3 linked regions of the Lonchura striata genome follow. The main gene of each other region encodes a partner of the protein of the gene in region 3 in a complex. Links are inferred from orthologs where the notes say so. Each region holds a gene or a part of one and is shown on either strand. Other genes may lie near its edges. The genes, in order: EDNRA, EDNRB and EDN1.

Region 1 (9,418 bases), on a different chromosome or scaffold from region 3:
GATGTTGTCCTATGAATACCTGTTATAATGCAGTTATGATGTCAGTGTTATAAAGATGCAAAATGCATGTTTTAAAATCATTGTTTCTTTCATCTAAAAATCCAGTTTGAAACCACAGGGCACCAGTTATTATAAAACCGTGCATTAAAATGTTTCATTTAAAACACACGTAAATAAAAGTCATTAGAATCTTTAAGGGCTAAAAATGTGAACATTTTTTCTTAATAATATAACATATATTATATGACTTAGTGTTTTATTTACAAACAGAAACACAGAAAAAAAAGAAAGAAAAAGATAAATATCCTATCAGCTATGCACCTGTCTACGGTACACAAAGAGACAGATTACAAAATTCTTTGATGATTTTCTAAGATAAGTTAATATCAATGAAATATATTAAAAAAGGGCTCAGTTCTGTTCATCCAAGCATGTTCTGGCTTGAATTCTATTAGTAAACATAAATTGCATCAGAAAAAGCACTGCTTTATGGCTTTGTTTAATTAAATTCGAAAATCAAAACACTGGGACAAGATAACTTTATACCAGATAAAAGAATTGCTGAGGAGCCTTTTTACACTTTGACCAATCCAGATGAAATTTAATATTTCAGAAATGATCTGTGATATAAATGGAATAATTTTGAGACTCTGCTATTAATAAATATTAAATGAAAACATTAAGGCTCAACTTTACTGATGTAATCTCTGCCTTCAAAATCATAATATGAAGCCCACATATCACAGGGAGTATTTTCTGTAAAAATATGAAGTAAGGATTGGATAATATAAAAATAGCATGCTAGTTCATCAAGGAGGAGAACAGTTTCTAAAAAGCCTTCCCTCATAAATTCTTTTGCTAGCTGTAGCAGCTATGAGAAATGAAGAGCTCCTGTGGAATGCCCAAGGCCACACTTTGGTTAGGAGCTAAGATCTATATCACCTTTAATGGGAGATACACTTTTTCTTGATGGAGGTGAGACCTGAGAGCAAGGGGTTTGTTGCCGAACAAAAAGGAGTTGTATTGTTTCCTTAATTGCACTATTCATTGACAAAAGAGCACTAAATAGAGGAAGCACAGAGAACAGCCAGGGAACTTGTAAGGAACTGCAGTTGGGATGGATGTCCTCCTACCTTGTACACGATGATGGGGATGTCAATGACAATGTAGATAAGGTCTCCCAGTGCCAGGCTGGCTATCAGTGCGTTCGGGCCGTTTCTCATGCACTTGTTCTGGTAAATGATCCTCAGCAAAGTTGCATTCCCAACCATCCCAATGATGAAAATAGCACAGGATACCACGGTGTTAATGTATTTGAAAGTTTCAGCAATTTTAGTCTGCTGGGAACATTTGACAGTTTGGTTGGACACCGGGGGCTGCATGGTGGTGAGGAGAACGCTGGATTCCATCCCTGAGAAGGTGGAAAGGGGATTTCCAGAGTCGCTCTGATTGGAAACGTCTCTGTCAGAGCTGTCACTGAGGACAAACCCTGGGAGCAGCAGCAGCAAGGAAACTCTTAAACACAAGGCTTCCATCCTGAAGTCCCCAGTGAGCAAATTCAGCGAGATGCTTTTTTCTTCAGTATTTCAGTGAGATACTTCTCACTTTTTCACCTGCGGAGAGAAACCGTAAGCAAAAAAAGAAAAGAAAAAACCCACATAATCAGTAGAACAGGTAGTCTGTCACATCCAGTTTTTGACTTAGGGAAGGTATCTGAATGTTCAACCTCTGCAGCACACACGTATAAACACCTGTTTATACTCACTGTGCTACTCTGAAATCTAGATTACCCCCATTACCTGTCTGACAAGAGATGAACACAAAAAATTCCTTTTAGTAAGTGATAGCTTATGCAAATAAGACCCCACAAAACCCTGTTAACTTGAGACAGAATTTGTACAAGGATGGAAAAAATAAGGTGGATGAAATTCTGTTTAAATATATAGTCTTGCAGGAAAAGTAGACCTCACTTGGAGACTGCTGAATGGTATTTTAGCTAAAATAAGAACTTTTTATTTTTTCTTTGAAATTAAAGGTAAAAGCACTACATTAAAAAGTCAAGGTAGTAAATTCATCAATTTTCTGAGTATTTTTTGAGGTACCGCAACAATTATACTTTATATTATTTTTGTCTGACTTATTACCTGGATTTCAAATGAAAACTGAAAAGGCATGTATTTCAAATCAAAATCTGGACCAGATCCAAATACCCTAATTATCAGGAGGAAGATTTTATAGTCCTAGGATAGACCTCTGGCCAAGAAAATACCTTCAAACTTTCTCATTTGGTCCTGAATATAATTGCAACTCATGCTGAGTACTTAGGCACGGTGATGTTAATAATAAAAAATGAAGCTCTTTAAGGATAAAAGATAATTTATTTAATATTCTAAGCAACAACTCATGACATTTCCAGGTAGGGAAGAAAGCAGCATAGAATCTTGCCTTAATAAGTGTGACTGCCTGTGTGTAACTGCTGCCACAGGGTTTGTAGATACCAAACCTCCAGTGAATCTAAGGATGCCATTTAAGTCCATTTTCCTGAAGTCTTGGTTTAATTTAAGATGGAGATTTTTTTTTTTAACATGGCTTATGTCTGCAAAACAAGACAAAGTGCTGCAGTGTTGACAAAGGAAGAGTAGAAAATAAAGTATTTATAACTTTCTGATTTCCAGGGACTCGCCTGAAGTATTTGGGAGGATCCTTTTAAATAAATGAATCCTAATTTAATTCCCTGTGGAGCTGTTAAGTCAGAGTTTATAGCAAGACATTTACCAGAAAAGGAGGGAGAAAATTTACTGATAGTACTTCTGGAGCAGTCAGAGTATAAATATTTACTAGTACTGCAGGCTCCTGTTGTATGTGGTCTGTGGAAGTGTGTGAGTACATCTGTAGAGCAGCAATGCTAACCTGATTATTCCTGTCTGGCATGCAGAGTGCTGTCCCTCACAGACCTTTCAATCCTTTTACTGGTGTATTTGAGATCAGGAAATGGCCAACTACAAGTTCCTATGGACTTAATTTCAAAGTTAAACATACTAAATAGTAAGTCCTTCTTTATTTAATTAAATTAAATGCTGGTTAGGATGGTATCTCAGAGCACTTAGCAGTAGCATGGTGCAAGTGTGTTCACTTTAGGTTTCGAAATCTTACCACAAATAACAGAGATGTTTGACTGTAATTATTTTCAGGCAAAGATTAATACTTGTATTGTTTTCTATAACTACGGTTCCTCAATTTACAAATGGGAAATATGTATCAGTATTAAATGGCTTTTCCAAGTATATGCGATAAAGATATGAACAGAACCCACAAACCCTATGTTTTAGTAGTTATATTAGTTTCCTCCTTACTTTGTGACCCTTTTTGTGAAAATTTGATGTATATATCATATAAACATTGTGGCAGCATGGCAGTCATGCTGCCAGCATTGCAAAGCTGGCAACAAAATTTCCAATTACCATCTCTTCCCTCTCCCGGAAGAAACTTTTTTTTTTCCCCGATAAGAAAAACTAGACAGTTTTTAATAGGCTAACTACTGAGGGTACTTTTTTATAGATTCCTGACAGCTCTTCATTCCTTTGTGCATATTTTTACAGTATTTATCTTGCTGCAGAATATAACATACAGCCTGCCTCGTATGAGTAACACGCTGGCATCCCTGATAACTTTCTGTGATAAGGTAATTTAGGATTGTCCTTCACACAAGCAGCCTGGGTACCTGGAGGGTGTGAGGTGCTCTGTTAATGTGGGAGCCACCCGCCCGTGCTGTGCGTGTGCTCCTGCAGTGCTGCTGAAGCAGCCGCGGATGCAGGGGACTAAATTCCTGACTTGCCTGGAGTATCAAGCCTGAAAAATTCCCATGCCGAGGTTCGCAAGAGACCGCACTAGTGGAAATGAAATTGTTCCAAAGACCAGCTAAAACGCTGGCGGTGCTTGTTGAGTGTAAGGCAGCTGCGATGTGAACAGGAGCGGATGAAGCGGAGCAGGGCAGGAAGGCGCTGAAGGGAACAACGCCGGCAAGGGGGATTCTCTGGGCTGTTCCCAGGGGAAGCCGCCCGCTGCTCCTTCTCCGAGGCGAGAAGGATCCTGGCTTCACCAGCGAAGGATCAATCCCAATATGCACGGGCAAGCCAGGGCTGCCCGCCCTGCAGCCTATATAGAGAGCCTCCGGCAAGATCCATACATTGTTAAACTTTATGGAATAACAGTTCCCCCAAGCTGCCTTATGCCCGTCTCTTGTTGTCTCTCCCTTCCTCTCTCTCACACGCTCACACCCGCACACAGAGGTGCACCACCGGCACCGAATCGCTGTCCGGGGCGTTTCCAGCGGCGCGGAAGGTGCCCGCGGCCCGGGCCGGGCTGTTCCCGGCGTGGGACGGCGATGTGCTCCCGCAGCATCCCGCGCATTTCCCCCCGCCGCCTCCCCGCCCGCCTCACCCTCATGCTGGGGCTGCCGCCGCCGCCGCCGCCTCGGAGAATTCCTTCGGAGTGGCTTTTCCTGGGATAGTCTTACCAAATCCTCCTGCCTGCGTCTGACTGGGTGGAATTGAAAATCCCCACCTCCGCAGAATCAGTGAACGAAAGAGACAGACTGAAGAGGTCGGAGCGTCCCCTCTTCACTGCCCCCTCCCCCAATTAAAACAAGCCTCCAGCCCGAACGGAGCCCCCGCCAATGTTAGACACAAAGGCTGCCTCCCGGGCACAGGGGAACACGGAGCTCCTTAACTCCTTCCTTCCCTCGCTGAAGCCGAGCACGGCTGCCGCGCTGCACTCAGCTGAACCACAGCCCCGGGACCCACTGCTGTAGCTGCCTGCTAGTGGCACGCAGGATTCTCAGCAAGGTCTTTGCCCGATCTCACCAGACAGCAGAAGATCCATGAGCAAAAACCGATCCATGAGCAAAATCAGATTTCCACGGGAAATCTGATTAAATAAACCTCTTTTGCTATGCATTTGCCCCGGGGCTGGCCGGGATCAGTCTCTGAAACAATCAATAAAATTGTGTGTGAGAGAGTTTCAAAAATGCTGGATCCGTAAGCAGAAACGGCTCCTGAGTGAAAATTTCTTTGATCCATCCAGGATATGTCTTGCTAATATATTTTAGTTGCATTTACAAGGATAATAAGGGTGAGGCATTTTCTGTCATTCCTATGTTTCCTATTACTGTTCTTCTACCAAGAAAGAGGTGCAAAAAAATCTGTGCAGAAAAAGTGGGAAGTTCACTTATACCTAATGATATGTTCTCACAGTGAGAAAAAAAATGCGTATCAGAGGCAGCAGCTTGTACAGGAAACAGTTTCAAAATCCCTTCTTTCATGCTAGCAAGTTTGTGAAATTTTGAGTCCTTTGTTGAATCGTTTCAGGTTTCTCATTTCCTGGTAAGTTTTCATCTGGTTGTACCACAGAAATTATTTTCTAAACATATATTGGCTTCTTCTGAATAAAAAAAGGCAACCTTCCTAAATAAGATGTAAAAATATGTCGTCCTAAAACTGCAAAAGCAAACTGGAAAGAACAATAAAAAATGTGATGCTTGTGGCCTGAAAAGTTAAAATATCTGGCACTAAATAATGTAGGAATTTTTTTTAACTTTTTCAGTTTTGCATAGTTAAAAGTATGCTTCTGTAATATGTTTGAAATAATCTGATGAATCTTGAACAGGAAAAACCAGCAACTGGGTGGACTGGATTAGCAGTATTTTATTACTTCTAGAAAGTCATCTCAGTTAAATGAAGTGTCAAAGCACAGGATCTATGAAGGAACATACATGTTCAGCTGAGAATCACAAGGAGCCTACTGTTTGCAAATCAGGTAGAAAGTTTAATTCAAAATCTCAGGTTGCTGTGAAGTTCAATAAAAGTTAATAAGCCACTAAATTATCCATATACTATGAAAAAAGTCTCTACAATTTGGTAATAGATGCTTAGTTTTAATGATTTGCTTGGTCAAGAATCATCTTCGTGGTAAGTTGTTGGAAAAAAAACATTGAAGAGCTGGAAAGGCTGTTATTGAAGAGCATGTGAACTTTATGGAGTGCTTTATTGATGCAACTCTTAAATATCTTGTGTCTTTTCTAAACATTGTTAAGACCCAATTCCCTTCCTGGGATTTGACCTTTATGTCTAAACAATTAGAGCTGTAACAAAAAGGAAAAAAAAGCAAAACAAAACAAAACAAAGCAAAAAGTTTATTTCTGATCTCATTCAAACACGTATTTGTTATTCCAATTCATAATAACATGATTATTTACATCACTATATTTACTATTACATGAAATAAATATAATGAAAATATCGAATTTACTATTCTGTTAAAGATATATTTCTAGACAGCCTTTATAACTGCTTCTTTTACTGCCAACCCACATTATAGTATTAGCTATTAGAAATTACTGATCCATGTTTTTTTGTTATTTTTACTGTTGATGATTTTTTAAATGAACCTTTGTTCTGTCTTTAATCTTCTAGGTGTCTAAAGCTCAGTTTATATCTGTCTTAAACTAAGATAAATTCAAAAATTATATTTAGTGATTCTTGCTTTTATGGTTCAGGAAAGTAACATGGAAGAGGAAGTTTTCACACAGAAATTATGCAAAAACTGTAGTTGCAAATGCAGCTGACACCAGCTACTGGGAAAAGTGATAAAATGCAGTTCTTTATGCCAAGATATTTTCATCTTTTAGAGACACTTTCACCATCATTGTAGGACTGCTGGCCTATGTGGGGAAGAGCTCTTGACTGAGGATTCTGTACCAGTTTCAGCACAGTGAAAGTGTTTCCTCTGACCTCTTCTGTTTTGTGTCTTCAACAAACTGCTTATCTTGTCCTGCATAACTCTGGAGATTCAGAGTAGGGGCAATGTATCAATCTCATTAGGAAAAAAATCCAATTGGATTTGCAGCTGGAGTCAAGAAGACTATTCGCAAATATCAGCTTTTGTAAAGCAATTGATTTCAATGAAGCCTGCAGGTATTAGAATGAAAGACTTTCATTTTATTGGATTGAAAGGTGTTCTAAGCAAATGTATTACCTGTTAAGCCACTTACCTCCCCAGATTTGGTATGAAATAGAAACATATGATCATCAGGTTGTGGAGTCCTAAATCAAATTGCTGAGATTCAAAAGACCAAGATCAAAACCAGGCATTTATTGTCTATAATTGCATTTCCATAAGCAGTCAACTGGTGTGTTTTTGATCTCTCATACTCAGAAAATCAGAAATTATTAATGACGAAGGTTGAAAATATCTAATTATCCTGAATTCTTTCACTAGGTTTCTGATACAGTTTTTATCAGAAACAATACAAACAATTGAAAATAGAAGCCATTTGGAAAATTTGGAAAAATACACCTAAATACTTTGGTTACAATACTGGATAACTGTTTCACTTTGAATTTAATACCTTGATCTAGTGAACAAGAACTCAGCAAATCAAAAACTTTCTCATGGAATCATGCTAATTTCAAGAACACTTGTTGTGCAGGTTTCTCAACTTTTATTACCACAGTTCAATCAGAAGTTGCACCTCACTGAACAAAAAGAAGAATCATGCAAACCATAGAGAATATTTCTATCTTGTGTAGATTACCTGTTCTTCCACAAAAGATGCACCTATGCAGCTGCTTTAGAAGAATTCAGTTAAAAAGGGCACCCTCTAGAAAATCTAAATTCACTGAAACTCAGGGCTTATTAATTCCAGTGATCAGTGAACCAGTTTTTTGCTTCTGTTGCATAACATTTCTGTTTCCCAGCAGATAATTTATTTAAATTGTATCTTTACTAATGCCGCATCTGTAGCTCTATTTATGGGCTTAGCACAAATAAATCCTGTTTCTGGCAAGGCTGTCTTGCTCCCCCCTCCCTTCTTGCCCTCTTCTTTCCTCCTTCCATCTTCCCCCTTTCTCTGTCTCTCATTTGTTACCTTCATGTCAATAGAAAATGTTGGCAATTTACAATAGGAATTTATAATTCAAAGAGAATTATAGTGAGAATACTATTGTATTAGCTTTTTCTTATAAGTAGGAAGGTGCTTGTATTAGAACCACTGAAATGTTCCTGTCCTTGGACTATGGGAACCTGAAGCTGTAAAAGAATCAAAAGGGATAAAGGATTGAAGTTTAAAGGACAAAATTGACCATGGATCCAAACAATTAATACAGGAACTACTGCAGGAGTTACTGTACCCCAAAAGGGAATATTAGTCAGGAACTGTGGATTGGGTGTATCTAAATTTTGCAGAATCTTGATGGAATAGTTTGAATAAGAAGTGAGCTTCCTGGGCCTTTAGTGTGCAGATTGGGGAAGTAATAATATGTGTTGTTAATTCCCTTCAATCGCTGAGCATTTCAGATTCCCCTGGGAGCATTTACCTACTGTGTTAAATGTGATGGACTAAGAACATTTCAGAAAAGATGTACTGGGAGAGGTAATGCTGTTTGGTCTTCATTTCCATAGATGGAAACCCTAATTTTCAAGGTCTGGATCTTATCAATCTATTTGTTGGCAGGCAGTAAAGAACAGAGAACCAGACTCTTCTCCCTGTAGCTCAGTGACAGAAGAGGAGGCAAAGGACACAAGAAATGCATTCTTGAAATACAATAAATTAAATTTGAATACAGGAAAACCCACTTTCACTTTAAGGATCATTAAACAGTGGCACAGGGAGACAAGAGATGCTGGAGAATCTCCATCCTTTAAGATATTCAAACCTCAGCTGGACACAATTTTGGGTGCCTGGGCTCTGAGCAGGGTCATGGGCCAGATGATTTCTAAGGGTCTCTTCTAATCTCAAAAGTCTGCAAATCTATGATTCAGGTGAGACTTCCATTATGTCAAGAGTACTTTGACTTGAGCTCTGGAATTATGGTGTTCAAAATTCTTCAAGTTATGTTGTTTGTATTGGGAACTGAGGTGGTGTTAAATTGAGCATGAACTACACACACACACACACACACACACACACACACAAAAAAAAAAAAAGAGTGCTTGTAAGCTATTGTCCTGTGGCAAGTTGGATACTGTCCAAAAGGATAATGGGATAATGGGTGATTGTAACTAAAATATTTCATAAAGGTTGTACTTTTTAAATATTAGTTCTATAAAGTTAAGAAATTATTTTCTTCTTCACTTTTGAGGCCAAGACAGCAAAATGAGTGATTGTAGGGAGCATCTGGGGATCTTCATCCCCATTGCTTCAGGCAACCCTGAAACTAGCTGGGAGCTAAGGAATCTGCTCCAAAAACACCAGTCTTCAATGATGACAGATAAAAATATTTCTACATGAGCCCCTCAGTATGCAGCAAAATATATATACATGAGGAAGAATAAAATAGCAAAATGTCACAGAAGATGCCTGTTATGTAATCATGCAATAAGTGAAATTGTGCAATGAGTGATTAAAAGCACACAAAAGAAA
Region 2 (10,099 bases), on a different chromosome or scaffold from region 3:
GTGTACTTTTCACAGCATTCAGACATTTCCACTACTCCATATACTTGACTTCAGAATGGACTGCTCCATCTAAATACAGAATAAAGTTACCCCTCCCTGCCACTCCTTGCAGAGTCCAGATAGGTTCCTTCACTGGAGAATTCAAATCTTTGTGCCTATACCTGCACTTGTTCACCATAAATGGTTCTTAAGCAAAACAGACTTTTAGCTTAATACGGTCAGAAATCAAGAAACTTTGTGTAAGAAATTCTGAGATGAACTTTGCAAGACCTCAAGTAAGTGGTTCAGATCTTGGAAGAAAGGAAATAATGCATTTCTTCCAATAAAATGGCCATTACCTTTAAGATCAGAAGAACTAGCAACCAAGAGTTCCAATATGGAGGAGTGAGAATCCTTTCTAAAGAGAAGCACTTTGATTAGAAAGTTAGAAAAAGGTTGGCTTTATCATAATGCATAGCCTACAGGTATTTGCATTACAAGAGTTAGTAAGTTCATTACAAACAAATTTCTACAGAAATCTTCAGAGCCTCTTCCAGAGAATAGCTGGATTAAAAAAAGGAGCCAATTTGTGTCTGCATGGTATATAGAGTGCCTAATCTGGTCTTTCTTGTATTTCCAGTGCTTGATAATGCCATATTGTGTTAACCATAATTTTTATGTAATCCCTAAATAAAGTTAGTGAAAATAAATCAGTGCTTACATAGCTGACTCTGGCCTTTGATTAGTGGCTTGGATAAAGACTAGATTTTTTTTCCTTCCCTTTAATATTTTTCTGCACTCTTCCATTTCGCTCTGAGAACAAGGAACCTATGACAATATTGCCAGGTAGATACTTTTCTTCAGACATTTCTTGGTAGTCAGAGTTTGGAAAACCCCACAATAATGTTCAGAGCCTAGATTGCTCCCCTTGTTAAAAGTCCACTGGGATATGACAATAAATTTGATTAAATATACAGGAACAAATATTACAAAATAAGAGAGAGATGTTGTTTGTGTACCAGAAGAGAAAGCATGTTAGTATGTGATGTGATTATGGTTTTTTAAGCCTATGAGAGGCAAAGCTAGTGTAAGTTTAGAATTTCAAGTCCTGATGTTTTGGTGCCTTAGACTTGGGAAAGTCAGCATAATCTGTCCAGGACTGCAGCTGCACAAGCTGCCACTGTCTTGGCTTCCAAAGTTTAAGTGCAGAGAAGGACACAAAAAGCTCACTGACCATCTACTCCATCCTTCTGCTCCTTAACTGCTGTTTGCAGCCTCAAATTAACAAGGACTTATTCTGTTCAGTGGAGCAGCATAGGATCACCTGCACATCCAATTAGTAGCAATTTTGCAAAGTTTCTACACTGCCAAAACATTACATACTGCAGAATGACTGTCTCAGACTTTGCTCTGCTTTCCATTCTGCAGCTCAAACATCCAGGCAAAGCCAGACCATTTACCCAGACAGGGCCCAGGACCCAGAAAGCCAAAAATATCTGCCAGGTTCTACATGCTGGAACTGAATGCTCTTCAAGCCCTTATTTCATAGCCAGTTTCCTGACTGTGTGACATATTAGGAATGCAGTGGACTAATTAGCATCCTATGCATTGGACTGCATTATCCTCCCTATCCAGGTAACACCTGTTTTTCTTTAGATACCCTTGGTTTAGGAGATGTCAATTTTCCTTTGTGCACTTTTTCAGCTACTTATATTCACTTAAATAGTCACAGGGGACATCTTTTGCAGTTATCCTTTTTAATACCTAATAAAAAGCTTCTTCTAGTGCAGGGTTTGAATTGTCTCCTACGGGTCTGTCTGGAAAGCATTCACGGACACTTTCCCACTTTCTAGGGCAAGTGCTGGCATTTTATTAACATACGAAATTCTCTCACACTGTTTCATGCAGCTGCCTCACTGATGATGTGGTAACAAATTCTGAATCTGGATCTGTTTCATGCAGTCTTAAATTGTTTCAAACTGCAAGTTACAATTGCTAAGTATACTTGATTTACTGAGGGAGCCTTTGCTTCTCGTACTGCTGAGTGATCAAAGCCAGTTTTTTTATTGCATTACTGTATGTATTCTCCCTGTTGCTCTGGAATGAAATGGGATGTAGAGTTGATAAAAAGTTATCAACTCAAACTGCCCTCAAAATTTGATTAAATAAATATAGGTGTTTTTTCCTTGTTTTTTTAAACTTGCCTTTATTCAAAAATTCTGTCTTAAAATAGAAAATATTTCACTCATTATTATAAGGGATCATATAAAGTGATTGTGGGTTCTTCAGTAAGATGATTAGCAGTGAGGGAGATTTAGCACCTGAGAGTATTGCATAGCTCCTAGCATTATCAATAACACAATAAAAATACTAGACTTGCAGCTGGTGCAATATTTATTGGTTAGTAATCTGACCCTTTATTCATCCTACAAGGAAAAAAGCCTATGAGTAGGCTCCAGCCTACGCATAATGATACCCTTGGTGACATTCAATCAAGATAAGAACTGAGGAATATTATCACATATTAACATTAACTTTGAAATTATCACTGACATTACAAAGTCTCATACAGCTGTTTTTTACTTAATCTTTTTGATTTTTCTGAGAACAGATGGAAATAATATTTTTGTTCAATGTACTTTTTTACAAAACCATGTTTTTAAAGTAGTTATTTTGTTTTCCAAATTCCACCTTCATTCAAAAGAGTACACTCCTCTCACAAGAATTAAGAGAGCGTATAGTATAAAAACCACTAAAACTTCAAATCTGAGAACAATCATGTAATCCAAATTAACTGGATCATGAATTTAACACAATGATGACATTCCCTGCTTTGTAATACTTTAAAAGAATAGAGAATATTCTCTCATCTCAGCAGCTTCTGGGATAACTATTATAGATTCAAAATCTGTCCCTTCAACATGGCTTTCTAAAAGTACAAGTAACAGACCCTAGTTTAGAATCGTGCATACAAAGTGAAAAGGAGATGATAGATGAAGACTCTTCTGTTCACTTTATGAAGTCACTGATGGGTGCTCAAGGATCAGGACTATAAACATTGAAAGCAGAAGGAGCTCTATTATTTCCAGTATTTCTTCAAAGAGTGCTAGATTACAACTAGAGCCTAAATTCAACTGCTCAGTTAATTCCTTAGGACAAATGGATGGCACAAGCTGGGTAGAGAAGACAAGGGTTATCTCCCCTCTATGGCAAGTCCTATCAAGTCAAAGTACAGACTACTGAAGGTGTGAGGGGTGCAGGTGTGGCTCATTCCCTCTCACGCTGCCCAGGCTGGAACACTGGCAAAGGGTGAAAGGGTTCACAGCTCAGGAAAGCATCGTGCCTCCCAACCAAGAGATGTATAAAACCGCTAGCTGAACGATCTTGGCTCCTCCTAGAAAAGCCCCCACGCCAAAAGGGACTGCACAGACCCATGTAAAGTATCATGACCAAGCCTGCCGCAGCTGAGCACAAGCGACCAAGTGGTACCCACAGGAGAGGGTTTTCTGTGCCTCCCCTCCATTCCTCGACCAGCCCACGGAACATTTATTGCATTTACTTCATTTATCCCTGCGACAGCACCTGTTTCCAGGTGATTTTCAGAGCTTGGCCACCTCCATTCTGCCCCATTCCCAGCCTGGAAGACTGAGAGGGACGGGATGAGGCATAGAGAGGGTGCCATCTGCGGCCACATCTGACCAGAATACCACCCTCCGGCAGGGTTTTGTCGTGAGGCGAACTCACGGGTGTCTCCCAGGCAGGAAGGGACGCGTCTCCCTGCGGCGGGGACGGGCATCTGCGGGCACCGGCAGGGAGCACCGAAGGGTGACCGCCGCACCCCCACGCCCGCTCCCGAATCCATCCTCGGCCCCTCCTCACCTTGTAGACATTGATGGGGATGTCGATAATGATATGGAGCAGGTCGCCCAGGGCCAAGCTGGCGATGAGAATGTTGGGGCCGTTCCTCATGCACTTGTTCTTGTAGATGATCCGCAGCAGCGTGGAATTGCCGATGATGCCCAGGACGAAGACCAGGCAGGACACGACCGTGTTGATGTACTTGAAAGTCTCTTTGATCTCCGTCTGCCCCGTGCACATGGGGGGCGAGGCGGAGCGCGGCCGCCCTCCGGCCGGCGCCGCGCCCTGGGGCAGCGCGGCCGGGCGGGACGCGTTGTGCTCGGCGCCGCGCAGCGCGGGGGTCGCGGCCGTCGGGGGCGCGGCGGCCGCGCTCTGCCTGCCCGGGCCCGGCCGGAGCAGGGAGCCGTCGTCCTCGGCGGCGGCGCGGCAGCTGAGGAGCAGCAGGAGGAGGAGGAGGGCGGGCATGGCTGCGCGGCACGGCAGATTGCCGCCGTCGGCGCCGACCTGCGCGGAGAGAGAGCACAGACAGGGCGTCAGCTGCGGGGACACCGCGCCCGCCGCTCGCTGCCCCGGGGCCGGGCCGCGGCGCTGCGTGTCCTCGGGCGGTGCTGGCGCTGCGGGCGGCTCGGCCGGCACAGCAGCGCCGGGGCTGAAAGCTGCGCGGCGGCGGCCGTAGCCAGCAGCCCCGACGGCCGGACCTGCTCGCCGTCGCCCCGCGCGTCTCCCGCTCACCGAGCCGAGCGGAGCCGAGCCGATCCTCGCCGCCCGCCGGCCAGGCAAGGCAAACGCGCTCCGCTGGCTGTCGCCGCGCCCCGGCTGCGTGTCCCCGCCCGGGCCCGGCTGCCGCCGCTCGCCAGCGATGGGCGCTCCGCTCGGGAAGGCGGCGGGGACCGGCGCTGGCGGCAGAGCCCGGTGTCCGTCAGCCGCACACCCGACCCCGCGGCCAAAGTCGTGCCGGCGGCGCAGGGCCCCCCCTTTTCTAAAACATTCAACCGCATCTGGCCCATCAGTCACAGCCAGACCCCACCCGCGTCCTCCGCCCCCAGCGCAGCCCGGCCCAGCCCCCCGCCCGCCGGCCCCGCGGAGCCTCCCATCACCGCTGTCGGGAGTTCCCCCCGGGCCGAAATGCCCTGCCACCTCCCCCTTGTCTTGTACCAGGCTGACTTGGCAGCCTAAAGAAGCAGACTTTTCGGGCTTTGAAACAATTTTTCAGGAGGGTTGTTACAAGAGTTATGGGCATTGCTGGAGGACAGTTGGGAAAAAGAGAGCACTTCCCCTCTGTCCTATCCGAGGCTCACTCCCAGCAGCTGGGTACGGGATTTTCCCCGCTGCAGAAACCCCCTTGCACAGCCCGAGGGGCGCACACGCTGAAGAAGCTGCCTGACAACGTCTACGAGTTTACTGCCACGTTTTAAAGCGCTTCACAAAACCTTTCTTACATCAGAAATAGCATTTTGACTGCCCTGAAATTGCAGTTCGGTTTGGGCAGCCTTAGCAAGGCGTCTATCTCAGCGAGCTCTTTCCAGTCGTTGCACGCTTCGGTGAAACGTAAGGAAAGGAGGAAGGAGATTTGTACAGGATTTTGTGGAGACTAAGAAGAGCCTCTGCAAGGTGGACACAATTGCATGTCTAGAGTTGAATTTAAAACTGTTTTTCAGTATTTCTCTGTACATCTCCCTGATGTTCTTTTTTCTTAAATCATTCTGGATGCTAAATCTTGAATATATACATGCTTAGTTACAGAAGCAACATGCTCACCTACATTATTGACAAACCTATATAGGAAAACACTCAAAACCACATGCTTTTTTTCAAAAATTGGTGATCTGATTTATCTAATATTTTCCAGCATCTCCTGCTAACATACCCTTGCGCTACTATTCACACCTCCATCTTTGTTTAAAAGACTTTTCTATTAAACAGCTTTCCCATTCAATCATTCTTGATCAATTTCCTCTTTTATGTCACAGTAATTTTTCTTTCCATTTTAAATTAGAGTATTTGTGGAATAAAGCCATTAAAGTCCCTTCTAAACTGTGCAAGGGTACTTGGAAGCTGATTGCACTCCAGCTAGAAGGTTGATCTTTCCAAGTTCACGCTTTTCAAGACTGTGTTGTGCAACATGATTCATTTTTATACACCATGGTTGATTCCTAGCCCAAAGATAAAAGTATGAACATTGAATTCAATATTATATTCTGAGCCCTGGGGATTTAAACAGTCTTTTCAGTTTTCAAGTTTGCATTTCCTCAATTTCCAATTCAGCAATCCATAAGTGAACTATGTTTTGCTAAATGCAATATTGATTTAGAAACTCTTGCCAATTAACACAGCATTAGCTTTCATCTCAAAATGCTTTTTTAGTTGCAAGGTTCCAGATAAGTCTCAAAAGCTTCTATGCTGTTCCAGACAATCAAGAAATATATTGTCAATACAGTGAGATATATTTGCTAACATTTTTATTATCACAACTCCATAAGATGTTTGCTACTAGTGGCATCTCCATTGCTGTCACTTACTCCAGCTCCAGAAGTTTTAGTAACAGCAATTTAATTTCTAAAATGTTTAATGTTAGTATACACAAACATAGTATATACAGAACTTTGGGCAGATGCTGATACCTGAAGAACATTACTCTTTAATGTTGCACAAAATGAGTCCATGTGACAAAGCATCTAAGCTGCTTCTGGCTGCAACTAGCTGAATTTGCCACCCTTTTATGTTTCTAGTATTTTTTTCAGATATTTGAGGAATAAAACCCAGCATATGCTGTGGAATAAATGCTTTAATTAATGAAAATTAAAGGAAAACACAGATTTGCATATATTTATGTGAGGATTAAGATAGTACTGTATTAAATACCAAGACCATATCAGATATCTTGGCAAATTAACTGTAATTTGAATGAAGATCAACTAACAAGGCTAATTTAGATTGCAACAAGAAAAAACATCTGTAAATATAATAGACTTTTGCCCTCTAAGTGGCCTCTGCTAATTAAGCAATGAAAGAAATTCCTTACTGAACTGTATGTAATACATTATATAAGATTATGTAAGCTGCTGCTAACGTGTCTGGCTGTTTTTGGTTCTTTTTTTCTAGATAGCAGAAATACTCCTTGTCCTATGGAAAGTTCAGGAAAATCTGATCCTCCAGAATGCCTGTTACTAATTTTATTGTATTCTGCACTTCCACTCCATTTCATCACACCAGATATTAACAATTATATGAATTAGCCAGTCACTATTTTAATTATAAGTCTGATGCAATACTTCCATCAATGACTGATAATGTTCAAACTTTTTTTGTTTTTGTAATTTGGACTACCATTTACAAAGTAAAAAGACTGGATAACTTGTAATCATCACTGGGATGATTCTTAACAACAGAAAGACTTTAAAGACTGTTATGTTACATGCAATATAAATCACAAGAAGTGGTTACAATTATGACATCAAAAAGTCCTTCAATTAATAAGCTTATGAGACACATTGGAGGATTGGATGTTTTAATTCATATAATACTTTATTGAATCAATGAGAATTTTGTTATGAGTTTGCAGGTACTTTTGCAAATCCCATTAACTTTCTGTTTATGTTGTTCAGCAACTAAAGCAGCCTCAGAAGTCTGCCTCATCAGGCCTGCTTTTCTTTTTATTGAGTCTGGTGGAAATTTGCCCACTAACTGGGTCAAGTCTGGGATGAATAGAAAGAATAGCTGTCTCAGTGTGAGCCACTCATTAGATGCATGAGTTCAATTAAAGTCAGAAAATAGTCCTCTGTGTTGCAGAAGTTACTATAGAAACATTACCAATGGCAATTTTGAAAGAATAAAAGTACTTTGAGAAATTGAGATATTAAGATATAATTTTAAAAATGCAGATTTGTAATTGCATATGTTCATGTACTAGACATTATCTGTCTCATTTTTTTTCCTTAGTCTAAATTTACACAAAAATATGGAATTCTTTTTAGTATGATGTGTAGCTATACTTTGTCTTTTTCTACAAAGCTAAGCAACTTTGATAAATAATAGTGTTGGCCATCAATTGCACTGTATTGACATACACTTAATTCTTGAAATAATGAAACAAATATTATCATAAAAAGTTACAATAAAACATTACCAGTAGATAGCACCAATGAAACATTGTTTGGATACAGATACCTGTTTTAATGTAGATTACATTGCAAGATCAAAACAATGAAAGGGAATAAAATTTGTACTGAGAAGAAAGCATTTGTTTTTTATAGTCTTTTTAATAAGAGTTTGGGGAATTTTTAAATGGAATTAAGTTCAAGCCTTTGAGTCAGACTGGTTGATAACTGAAATTTTTCTTCACATCTAACTCTAAAATTAAAACCAATATGTCACTTATTACATTTATTCCCCTCATTCTTCCTATTCAGCGGCAGCAAAAGAAATCACAAGGTAAATTACAGTTCTGAAACTGATATAGCAACATGTAATTAATCTGAGGTATAAAGCACACTGAATTATTGTCTATTAAGGGAAAAGTTACCGAAATGGGTTTGGGGAAGTAGCTGCATGTTTGAAAGAATTGCATTTCTGAATTTTATGGAAATTATTGAAACCTTTTTTGCATGTTTGTTTTTTCCCCAGGATACTTCAATAGAATAAAGGTGAACAAGTTTACTTTTAAAATCCAGCTGTAACAGAAGTTTGAATCAGAATTGCCCAGGAAGCCTAGATAAGATCAGTTGTCAAAAAAAACTGCATGTTTCAGCTGCTGTGTAAGGTATGTATGCATTTATACAGGGGAGATGATAACTGGCCATACATTGTTTATGTTGCACACAAAGATTACTCCAGGCAAGATTTTCAAATCTGGATTAAATTCATATCCAGACAAAATGCCTGACTTCAGCAAGAGTTGCTGTTATTCATTTATCCATGCTTTTTTTGCAAGTGTGGCTATGTAATACAAACACTGTGTTCATCTGGAGAGAGAAAATCTGCCACCACATTCTCACTTTAATATGTACTGATAAGCTGCACACCAATAAAATAATTCAGTTAAGAATCCTCAGAATAAGGAAATCCATGCTGTGAATTAAAAGAGAGATTTCATGTGCCATAGAGCTGGCCGTCCACAGGCTTCTTGTTTACGTCATGCTTGACTCCGCACAGGATGGTTCCACCTAGCTACAAAATCAAATCTATTACTGTAGGGACAGGCCTAAGTGGTGATGAAAGCTGGTTCTTGCCAAAATGCACTGGGGTTCCTTCCAGGGAGTAACGTGGCTGCAATTCCTAACAAATAAAATAGTCCCTGGGATCCTCTGCTTGCATTGGAGAGGAAGACACTTCCATTTCTAAGACGAGTGACAGACTTAGGGAAATAAGCAAGAGATAATGTTTAGATGCCATATACCAAAGAGGTAGAAGTACTGTTTATGTGGTTGACTGGAAGCTACTCAAATGCTCAGAGAGCTTGAAAAGTCTTTCTACAATTTATGTCATGACCTTGGACTCTAAGATTTTCTCTTATAGGACATAAAAAGATCTCATGTGTGTAAGTAGGTCCTTACTGATCAGACTTTTGAAGAAGCTCCTCACTTTTATTTTAAACAAATGTTGGATTGAGAATGAAAATAGTGCTTGAACATTTTCTCAGTTTTGGGTGTTGGCCATGGAAAGATCTTTGTAGTCATCAGCTCTCAATTCAGAGAACATTAGGGCACTGACTTCTGCAGGTCAGCAACCTGCTGGCTATTCTCTTTTGGAAGTTCCTAACACTGCTGGTTCTACTGGAAACCACATTTTTGGCAGGAGGTGTTTGAGAGGCCCAGATCTAATTAATTGAAACCACTCTCTTTCAAATCAATGTGGCTGTTTGATGACATGACTACTTTAATTACATTTCCCAAAGTGTTGCAGAAGGATTTGTATTCTATGTAGACATTCTGTATTTACTAGAGATGCACGTCTTCTCAGGACGTTAACAAACACAGCCCTTAATATATTGAAAACAGGCATGTGTTATTGTTACCTTGTGCATTTTGCAACAAAATCTACCTTCTAGCATTTAAAAATGTTGTAATGGAGTAATGTCTTCTCCTTTTATATGGCAAAAGCTCATTGTTAATATCTTGTTTTACACAGATCTATACTTAGTGCTAGAAGATTGTATGCTGTCAGCCAAGGTAATACAGGAATTCTATCTCCAGATGCTGTTTTATTTGTAGAAGGTGGCCTCTGGAAGGAGCCTTAAGATCTGACTTTTTGTTGATCGTACCAA
Region 3 (10,114 bases):
GGCCTACTTCAATGTGTATTCAACATGGTAAATATAATGAAGAACTTGTGTGAATATAAATACATGACAAAAATAAGCACATAAGATTCAACTTTTCTGCAAATTCAACAATGTGAACAAATTCACTGCTATAAACATTCACCCAATATTAGCCTTTTGACTCTAATTCAAAACAACCCTTTGTCTCAATGTATTTCCACCAAACAAGGCCCTGAATAAATCTTGCAACAGCCTCTGGTAGATCCCCACTTCAGTGCATTATTGGTAGCATGTAAGACACAACAACCTCTATTATTAGAACTTCAGTTGACCAAATATCCTTGTTATGGGAAACTTAGTAGTGTCCTCGATAACTTTTATTTTATGTTGAAGGGTCCCTTTGGTATCCAAAGCCAAAGGACTTTGACTATGCAAACAATCAGAGTGCCTAACCCACATTCAGATAACTCTGGTTGTACAAGTAAACTATACTTCTGAAAAAAGGCAAAGGGTTGCAGCTGATTAGTAAAGGCAATAACAAGGTGTAAAAATACTCTAGCAGGAGTGCAACAAACAGTACGCGAGGTAGACATGTATATATGCAGTCAGTCCTGATTAAAGTAGAACTGTGGCTTTCATTTTTGCATTTTAATCAAAAGGTAGTGTTCTTTGAAGTTTATACACTCAGATCTTGCTTTCTGTCCTTGCTAAGCACATCTGTGAGGTCTTCCTTGCGAGATGCTTTTGATGTAGACCCCAAAAGCTGCTCAATCGATGGGTAACATTCCAGAAGCAGTATTCAAATGTTTCTTCAGACAGATGGCTTTTCTTGTATGTTACTGCAGATTTCCCTTCAGCCCTTCTACCCATCCACCTGAATTCCAAGATGATAAAATCCTTTGTCAGTATATCTCCAAATACAGGACTTCTTTAGCACTTTGCTCCACTGTGCAGACACTTGGACAGAGGGGGCCTTTGCCATCATGGAATGTTGGAGTCAAGACAGAGTTTTCGCGATGCTTTGTCAGCAAGCGTTGTGGAGAAAGATTCAGGTGATCTCACCACTAGGATGCTTTCAGGCTTTCCCGGACGCTTTGCCTTTTGTTCGCCCTGTTGTGTTTGAGCTTTCGCCCTTTCTGGAGCTCAGCCTTCAGTTTTGCGATACTGAAGGAAGCTTTGATGCTGTTACCAATGGCTTCCAGCCTGAAAAATCAGGAAATGTACATTTAATATTGTGATAATGAAGATGCATCTCCAGTGTGAAAGAACTTAGTTTTTGCTTAAATAAACCTCAGTCTAGATTTCTACCATGGGATCCTAATAACCTGCTGTTCGCTATAACTCAGAATTAGGATAACTTAAGATACTTGAAATGTTGTATTCATAATTTCAATACAAACATTAAATTAAAATATTCACTCAAACATAGATGCCCTAGACTTCTTTAAGTAACCAGTCAGGAGGTCTCCAGTGTTTCTTTTATGTTTCATCTGTGCTGTTTCTTTTAGGTAAACCTGATCCTACTTCCAATGAATAGGTGCATTTTTCAAGTAAGCAAGCTCCACTTTCAAAAAATTATTTAAGACTTCCAGGCCCTAAGTCTCATTCAATATCATCAGGTTGCCTGCTCCCATAAGTCCTGTTCTGTTTGTGAAAGGAGCACTAAAGAATCTTCTTTAGTACAGGCAAACTTCTGTATTCCATACTTTTCCATGGGAATATGGCTGAGCACTGGATGCAAGCAGAGGACAGATGGGTGCTTAGCTCAGCGCCTGTGTCCTCACAAGCTAGAAACCCAGAGCATGAAGAAAAGCCCCAAAATATCCTCACTGATTCCTCCATAACTCTCAAGCTGAAACCACCAGCTAAGCTCAGGATGACCCGAAGGCAGGTGAACTGTGCTCTCTATTGCTGCTCTAGGGAACTACAACAGGATGAGAAGAAACTCACCGCTTCATTTTCTTGCTGTCAACAAGCTGTTGGTTTATGCATTTGGGTCCAAAGCAATTGCCGGCTTTGATGCGGTGCCGTGAGGTTTTCTCCACTGTGGACTGAGCCCTGTTAAAAGGGAAAAGGTTCTGCTGTTAAAAAAAGCCAAGTCTGCAGTCTGCAAGGTGAGGCATCTCATCAACCACTTCTCAAGGCATGTAATAAGCAATCTTTCTGGGCCAAGCCATAGTATGGATCATAAAAGTATGAGCACTCGGGTAGGAGGCAAGGCTTTGGGGAGAGTATTCGCTCAGCAAGTGCCAAAATGAGTAAGTGCACCACAATCCATCCCTTTCACATGCATTGCCTTTTAAAGAGTAGCAACAAGAGACGCACCAGAGATCTTTGCCTGCCTGGCAGAAGTTCAGACATTTCTTGTCTTTCTGGTTGGCACATTGGCATCTGCTGCTTGGTTCAGTGAGCATCTCCGGCACCATGTCCTTCAGTGATCTTCTGGGTCGAGAAGGGCCTCCCAGACCATATGGAACAGTCTTCCTATGATCAAAGAGACAACATGAAAGTCATTTAAATAATTCTGTGCCTTCAAAACACTGTGGGGTATTTTGGGCAATCTTATCAACAACATTGATTGCACGAGTAAAGGCTGTGGGATTGGGAATGCCTCATTAGTCACAGTTTCCATGCAAATGCCTCTGATGATCCTGCAACATATTCATTAGCATGGCTACTGACAAGGATAATGACCTTTTAATTGTGATTTCACAAGGCTGTTGTGCCTCCCTATGCAATAGAAAGCAATAAAACCTCATCTCTTTGAACTTTGGCTACTGCCAACACTGAAAGAAGCAGTGAAAGTGAAGAACAGATTCTCTCAGAGGAAACCCAGCAGCAGAAGAAATCACTAGTCAAGTGTTTGCAGCCTTAGGTGAGCCTCTGGCTCACTACTTTTTGGTGAGGAGAGTACAGAAATGGATACTGTGCATAATCCTATTAACACGTGGGATGCATTAATTTGCAGCAGAGAGCAGTGAAAGGCAGCTAGAGCCACCCGGTGTCAAAATATTCCTTGTCAGAAAGAAAACTGCTCAAATGCAGGCTGGCAAAATCAAGCCTTTGGCATTTTGTCTGATTCTGATTCATAGTGAAAAGTATCCTTCAGCCTTTGCTGAGCAGCGCCCAAAGGAAATACCGCTGCCCAGATTTTAGGTAGGCAGGTGTGCTAGGGCTATTAGGAGCTATCTGCCCGATCTGTGTGGCCAAATCCTGCTCGCTTTCTTCTGGTGCAGTCTCGTTGCTAAGTGTGTTAGAAAAGTAGGAGCAGGAAAGTAAAGCAGTAGGAGAAACTGTGCAAACAACTATTTCTTCCTCCCCTTCCCATCTCTGCAGGGGGGTTGTGGTTCTTAATTTTCGCCTTCACACCTCCCTCTCTTTCTTCCTAACCAAAGGGGAACCCGGCACCGGGGAACTGCTGAAACCCCTCCACTCCACTCACTCGGGGGTGTTGATCCAGATGATGTCGAGGTGGCAGAAGTAGACGCACTCCTCGTCCATCAGCGAGGAGCAGGAGCAGCGCCGGGCGCGGCGGTGCGCGGCGGCGGGGGGCGGCGCGGCGTCCGCTTCGGCTCCGGGGGCTGCGGGAGGGAGCGGCAGAGCTCAGCACCCGCGGCAAGGCAAGGCAAGGCAAGGCAAGGCACCCGCGCATCCCCTCCCGCTGCATCCCTCGGGCAGCCCTCCCCGGAGCCCGGCTGCGACCCCGCAGCCCCCGCGGGGCCGGCCCCGGGCGAAGGCGAGCGGCAGCGGACCGGCACCTACCTGCCGGCAGCAGCCCCGGGCAGAGCACGAAGAGCAGCGAGACGATCATGTGGCAATAATCCATAGCAGGCGGCGGAGGGCGGATGGAAGAAGTGAGGGGAAACGGGGTAAAAATTAATAAAAGGCGAGAGAAAAGCGGATAAAGTGTCTCCCGGCGTGGGGACGGAGCGCCGTGGCGGGTGCCCTGCGTGGCGCGGCTCGGTGCGCCCCGGCGCGTCTGGCTGGCGCGGCGGTCCCCGGCGCCCTTTTATAGCGAACCCCCATGGAGCGGGTAAACAGCCCCGGCGCTATTTTATCCCGAGACAATGTTATTCTCCTATTAGTCACCGCGCGGCAACGTGCGGGCCGAGATAAGGCCGGGGCTGGAAAGGAAATCGCCTGCAAACTTCAAGAGCGGGGGGCGGCGGCGGCGGGAGGGGGCCGGGGGCGCCCCGGGGGCGGGGAGGGGCGCCAGGGGGCCGCCAGGGGGCGCCCTGCCCGCGCGTCGCACCTGAGGGCGGCTCTGGGCTCCGGGATTCGGGAATTCGGGGATCCCGAGATCCGGAGATTCAGGGGTTCAAGACTCAGGGCTGCGGGGCTTCAAGGTTCACCGATTCAAGGCTCCAGGGCTCCAGGACTCGAGGCTCTGGGCTCCACCTGCTGCTCCTGCCTTGGGGAGAACTCAGCAGTGGGACACGGGGGTCCCTTATGCGGGATGATGGATGCCTGCCTGCGCTGGACCCTGCCCTGCTCCCCTCAGACCCTACCAGGTGGGCTCTGGGGTCTCAGGAGCTTGGCAGCAGCGGTGGCTCATTGGGGTATAACCTATCTCCCTTTTCTGCCGTGGTAGGGCGAGGTGCTAAACGTAGCATGTTTTGGGTGTGAGCAGGTGTGTAAAGCCAGGTAGGGAGGGAAGGAGGGAAGATCTGTGCCTACTCTTCGCCTTTGGCTCTCACCACTAATTCTGGCAAAGTCTTTTTCCTGGCATATTCGTGTGTATTCAGCCTTCTGTCAAAGAGCAGAGTCAGTGTGGAAGCTGGACGCTTGAGGAGTGGCTGCAGCAGGGCCATCGCAGATAGAGATATGCATGGAATCCACTGAGGTCCCAACCGAGGGAGCCAGCCCCTGACTATAAACTTAATTAAGTGAACTCAAAATGCCTGTGATCCGCCGTGGAGCCGTCGCGCTGCGAAGCGTGCCAGTTTCACCTATGATAAATAGATAAGACTCTCTTGGTATTTGTGGTATTTCCGTGCACTGTGCTGTAATAATAGAGATGACCTTGGATATCACAAAGAGTGGGATTGTTAAGTGCAAGTTCCATTGTGGTCTGGCAGGTGAATGGCCAGTTTTTTAAAGTCTCAGATTATACTGTGCCCCTGTATCATAGCGGACAGACTGTCTGCAGCCGTGCTGAGTCAGAATAAAGGTCCATTTAGCTGGTATCCTCTCTGCCACAATGGATGTTAGCAGATGGTATGAGAAGGAGTACAAGAATGGAATGCAAGTGGAGACTAATCCTTTCCTCGGTGTAACCTCCCTGCTTCTAACAGGATGAAGTGTAGGGGCTTTCCAAGCAATAATGAACATTTAGACCATTATGCCGAATAAACACCAGTGGCCCCATCCTGAGATGGTCATATCTATTTATCAAAGGTATTCTAAAAACTGCCCTGTAAAACATCTGTGAGTGGAGAAAGCTAGGTTATACAAATTTTTTTTCACAACTTTCCAGCGTGGGAGTTTATTTTCCAGAGCAGGGATCATATTGTTTTGTGTATTATGTCTCTTTGTGTATGTAGGGCAGGACTTCCCAGAACGCCAATGTATCCGTACATGTGTGTTTGAATTGCTGCAGTCATGATAAGAATCTGCCAGCAGGGGTCACACAGCTACATACAAAAAGTAATCACAGCCCTCTGAAGTAATGAACTTTATCAGTGTCCAAAAGTTAGGGAAGAAACTTAGTGACTCTTTTTTCTTTCTTGACACTAACAATAAAATAAAAAAAAAAATTAAAAAATAAAAAAAAGGGAAAAGGAAAAAACATGAAGCAGTTGTGTGGGTTGAAAGATAGCAATCGTTCTGTATTTAATACAAATATGCATAGCCTTTCCAGGCCTGGCACTTAAAGACCATCTTTCATGCCAGTGCTTATTTAGATTTTTTTTCCTGAGATTCCTTTTTCTAAGATGTGCACTTGGAGCCAAAATGACTCACATTGGTGTAAGATATTTTCAGCCTTGTCAGAATACCTTGTTAGAAAGTATTTTGTTAGCTGGCAAAAACAGCATGTATGCTTCCTCTGAGTAACAAGGAACAAACATATTGCAGGCACTTCTGAAGATGGTGTTCTTTTCTACTTTTCTTTTATTAACAAAAACATCTTCAGCAATTTTTAATAAGAAATCATAAATATTATTGTTGTCAGAGATCCATTTCCTCTGATTCAGCAATTTTTGTTAGCTTCACTTTCAGATCTTGAGACTAACCAGAATCAAGCTATTCCCGTTGCTTGAGTAATGCAAAAACAAACTTATGTTCCATTTGTTAGCAGTGGCCCAGCTAGGTCATTTCAGGCCGCCGGGATTGCCAGGCCTGGAGGTGGGTTTCCCCAGGAAGGGGTAATCCTGACCTTTGCTTGGATACTGGGAGGTACCAGGATCAGCTTTGTGCTACACAGAAATCCCCTTTGGGAATTAAAAAAGGAAAATTTTCCCACTTTAAAGCTGTTTAAAGGAGGAGTCCAACAATAGGAGTCACAATAGGGGCCTTATAATATCAGCTGAAGAGGACCAAGCTTTGGGTAGCAGTCAGTGTTTGCAGGATGGAAACACAAAGTCAGGTACTACATGAGTCGTCCCAGTACACACCAAGCCAGATCGCCCCAAGAGCTGGGAAGTTTGCACCATTATTTGCACTGCTGCCCATGTGGACAAGGGGTGGAACAGGAGCTGAAGCTGGCTGCTCCTGCATCAGGCTTTGTCCCTTTCTAGCTGAAGCACCTTGGGCAGCCACCTCTGAGACATTGTGTTAAGGAGCAGAAACTCAGCTGACCAGCCAGGCTGTGGTTGTAATGTTCCAGCTGGAAAAGGCCATGGCACGACTTTTCTAAAGGACATTTTGTTTAGTGTCAGAAAGAAATGCCTGCTTATCAGCAAAACAATAAAAGGAGACTGTAGAACTGTGCCTTTCTGTCTAGGGAACAAGGGGAGCAACATGCTGCTTTCTGCAGATTTGAAACACTATTCTCAATTAAGTGAAAGTTGCGTAACTCGTCCCCTTACTTTCCTCACTGCCCCTCTTTCGCCTTACTTTCCACTTAGGGGCTGTCCCATCTGCCTGTACCCCTTTTTATACCAGACACAAATTTTTTACACAACATGAAAGTCAAAGAGTTGGCTATGCCATGCAGAAGGGACCTGGACAGGCTTGGGAGGTGGGTCCATGCAAACCTCAGGAAGTTCAGACAGGCCAAGCATAAGATCCTGTACAGGGGTCATGGCAATCCCAAGCCCAGATACATGCTGAGAGATTAATGGATTCAGAGCAGCACTGAGGAGAAGGACTTGGGATTTTTTTCATCCAGAGGGTGGTTAGGCACTGGAACAGGCTCCCCAGGGAAGTGGTCACAGGACCAAGCCTGACAGGGTTCAAGAAGCATTTGGACAATGCTTTCAGGCACACAGTGTGATTCTTGGTGTGTCCCGTGCAGGGCCAGGAGTTGGACTCAATGATCCTGATGGGTCTTTTCCAGCTCAGCATATTCTGTCTTTCTGTGATTCTATGACTGGGGGTTTTGGTGGATAAGAATCTTCATGTGAGCTGGCAACATATGCTTCCAGCCCCTAAATTCAACTGTATTCTGGGCTGCATGAAAAGCAGTGTGGGCAGCTGGTCCAGGGAGGTGATTCTGCCCCCCTACTCTGCTCTGGTGAGACCTCACCTGGAATGCTGCATCCAGCTCTGGGATCCCTAGCACAGGAAGGACACGGACTTGTTGGAGCAAATACAGAGGAGGCCATGAAAATGCTCAGAGGGCTGGAGCACCTCTCCTGTGAAGACAGGCTGAGAGAGTTCTTCAGCCTGAAGAAGAGAAGGTTTCAGGGAGTCCTTAGAACAGCCCTTCAATATCTCAAGGGGGGCAAAAAGCTGGAGAAGGACTTTTTACAAGGGCATATAGAGATTAAACAAGGGGAATAGCTGTACGCTGAAAAGAGGGTGGGTTTAGAATAGGAAGAAATTCTTTACTGTGTGGGTGGTAAGGCACTGTAACAGATTACTCAGGGAAACTGTGGATGCCCATCTCTGGAAGTGTTGAAGGCCAGATTGGATGGGGATTGAGCAAACTGGTCTAGTGGGAGAGGGCTTGGAATGAATGATCTTAAAGGTCTCGTCCAACCCAAACCATTCTAGGATTCCATGATAATTTGAGCTCTTGAAAATTACCTTATCTGTCACTACCCAGCTCTATAATGTATTTGATTCTCCTTACAGCTGTGAGAGTCCTTAGGCAGAAGTCTATTTTCTTGCAAACCAACTTTCTTCATTGTCCCCATCTCCAGTTAGTGAGGTTTAGCATGGGTGCCTGTCTCACAATATACCTGTGGACTTGTTAAAGTGATGAGGAGAGGAATAAGGACAGCCAGTGATCCAGCAACCTCAGCCCTACATGTTAGTAATATGTGGCCCAAATGGACCATATCCAATACCACCAATGATAATTTTCTTTCCAAACTTCACTCCACATACAAAATTGCATTTAAGCTAGGGAGGAAAGTTGCAGCTATATGACCCTTGATGGAGGAAAGCCTATATCAGAAAGCACGTCCAGACCATGCACTTCCTGACATCATGTGGCAATGACTAAATACCATTTAAAATACAAAAATCAAACTCCACTTAAAGCTGAATTTTACTGAGCAAAGTTCACAGTTTCTCCCAGGGCTAAAATTGTTATTGTCAGAAAAAAAAGTAAGATGGTTTGCAGAGATTCAGGTTTCAGAGGATGAAACCTGTTGTGAAACCTTCCTCCTACTTATACTTTCCACAACAAAGGACTGTAAACAACAGGAAAATATTTCCCTGGAAGTAAAGTCATCTTTAAAATGAGGGAAACATCAGGGGGGAAAAGGGAAAGGCTTAAATAGCCTGGGAATAAAGAATCCATATAACTTTTGGGTGAGAGTTAACAGGAACTTCTCCCTTACTTCAGTGTCTATCTCTGCCATGATATTGTAGGAGAAAGAGTGTCCACTTCCCACTGAAGTGAAGCACAGTGGCACTGGTGGCACTTGGCTGCCCCCTGTCCCAGCAAGCTGTAGCAGTTCCTCCTGTTTCCATCTTTCACCCTGCATCTGCTTGTGCAGGGGCAGCAAGCAAACAGAATCCCAGGAGCATGGCAAAAGGTTCCGCTCTGTGGGCGGAATATGGGCAGGTGACCTGAGCCCTCCCACCCAGGCCGTGTGAAGGTGACAGAGGTGCCTGGTACTGCCAAGGGCGTGTCATGTGAGGTGTCAGGGTGGCTTGGGTGGGTGATCATTTCTGCTGTGGTAGCTCAGGATCCTGCACACAGAGGCCCCAAAGGAATTAAATCCATAGCCCTTTGTGCTACAAGCAATTTGTATGGTGGTGCTTAATTTGGATTTATTTTTTTAATTGACCCAATTCTCATGTTATTCTCAACATTAGTAGAAGTTAAAAGAAAAAGACCTTACTTCTGGCCCAGAAAATTTTAGAGTGGGAAATACTCCAAAGAATGATCTCTCTGTCTTATGCCTGGTCTCTTGCAGACACATCCACCTTCAGCCATGTCAGACACAAAATGCTGGATTGATTCCACAAGACTATGATATATTCTCATAGATATGCTTGGACTCCTGAGTTTTCTTTAGAAAAAAAGAAATATATCTTCAGCTCCTTTCCATAACTCGAGTTCAAAATACAGACAGCATGAACTATGTCTTCTAAAAGTGTGAAAAGATGGTAAGAGGTTACATGTATATATAATCAGACTCTTAGGAAAGAGTTACGCAAGTAAGAGTTTAACTACATAAAGATTAACATCATTAAGTACAAGAGATTAGTGGAAGGACTGCAATAGAAGGCTCTAGCAAAGGAAAGGAAAATACTAACCAGAAAACCAGATCTGGTTTTGTATACAACCTCTTATGTGAATACAGCAGCATATGACAGAACACTTATTTGCAAATAACTGTTAGAAGAAAATGTGCTTTATCAGGTTTGTTTACTCACTTCTTGGCAAGTCTGGCTTGCAAGGAACTCAAAGCCCATGCTTGCAATTAGAAAATCTTCTGAAGAAAAACACTAAGAGCAGTTGTTCTAACTGATACTGCTCTCCTTTCAATTGGGCATTTCAGAGTTTCATGTTCTT

What was found.
Region 1: the proteins of EDN1 (region 3) and EDNRA are in contact, whole or in part, in a cryo-EM structure (PDB 8HCQ), measured with the Homo sapiens proteins. The link is inferred for Lonchura striata from reciprocal best matches to the Homo sapiens genes EDN1 and EDNRA. Residues at the interface, in NP_001403492.1 of Homo sapiens: Cys53, Ser54, Leu58, Asp60, Lys61, Glu62, Cys63, Val64, Tyr65, Phe66, Cys67, His68, Leu69, Asp70, Ile71, Ile72, Trp73; in NP_001948.1 of Homo sapiens: Tyr68, Gln72, Thr73, Lys74, Tyr129, Asp133, Ile136, Asn137, Lys140, Leu141, Gly144, Arg145, Trp146, Gln165, Lys166, Val169, Glu220, Phe224, Val227, Phe229, Tyr231, His236, Lys237, Thr238, Cys239, Met240, Leu241, Asn242, Gln252, Lys255.
Region 2: the proteins of EDN1 (region 3) and EDNRB are in contact, whole or in part, in a cryo-EM structure (PDB 8XWP), measured with the Homo sapiens proteins. The link is inferred for Lonchura striata from reciprocal best matches to the Homo sapiens genes EDN1 and EDNRB. Residues at the interface, in NP_001403492.1 of Homo sapiens: Cys53, Ser54, Cys55, Ser56, Ser57, Leu58, Glu62, Cys63, Val64, Tyr65, Phe66, Cys67, His68, Leu69, Asp70, Ile71, Ile72, Trp73; in NP_000106.1 of Homo sapiens: Pro88, Pro89, Ile94, Glu95, Ile157, Asn158, Lys161, Glu165, Asp166, Trp167, Val177, Pro178, Gln181, Lys182, Val185, Phe240, Ile243, Met245, Tyr247, Leu252, Ile254, Leu256, Leu257, His258, Pro259, Lys270, Lys273, Leu277, Trp336, Leu339.

The regions. Positions count from the first base shown.
Region 1 is NC_134606.1:62,837,311-62,846,728, reverse strand, and holds the start of EDNRA (endothelin-1 receptor), read right to left. Parts: upstream 4,652-9,418; 5' UTR 4,441-4,651; intron 1,614-4,440; 5' UTR 1,536-1,613; coding exon 1,134-1,535; intron 1-1,133. UniProt on the Homo sapiens protein: Receptor for endothelin-1. Mediates its action by association with G proteins that activate a phosphatidylinositol-calcium second messenger system. The rank order of binding affinities for ET-A is: ET1 > ET2 >> ET3.
Region 2 is NC_134604.1:48,594,337-48,604,435, reverse strand, and holds the start of EDNRB (endothelin receptor type B), read right to left. Parts: upstream 4,611-10,099; 5' UTR 4,570-4,610; intron 4,342-4,569; 5' UTR 4,303-4,341; coding exon 3,859-4,302; intron 1-3,858. UniProt on the Homo sapiens protein: Non-specific receptor for endothelin 1, 2, and 3. Mediates its action by association with G proteins that activate a phosphatidylinositol-calcium second messenger system.
Region 3 is NC_134603.1:91,208,284-91,218,397, forward strand, and holds the start of EDN1 (endothelin-1), read right to left. Parts: upstream 4,032-10,114; 5' UTR 3,806-4,031; coding exon 3,742-3,805; intron 3,561-3,741; coding exon 3,422-3,560; intron 2,464-3,421; coding exon 2,305-2,463; intron 2,038-2,304; coding exon 1,930-2,037; intron 1,183-1,929; coding exon 1,044-1,182; 3' UTR 1-1,043. UniProt on the Homo sapiens protein: Endothelins are endothelium-derived vasoconstrictor peptides. Probable ligand for G-protein coupled receptors EDNRA and EDNRB which activates PTK2B, BCAR1, BCAR3 and, GTPases RAP1 and RHOA cascade in glomerular mesangial cells.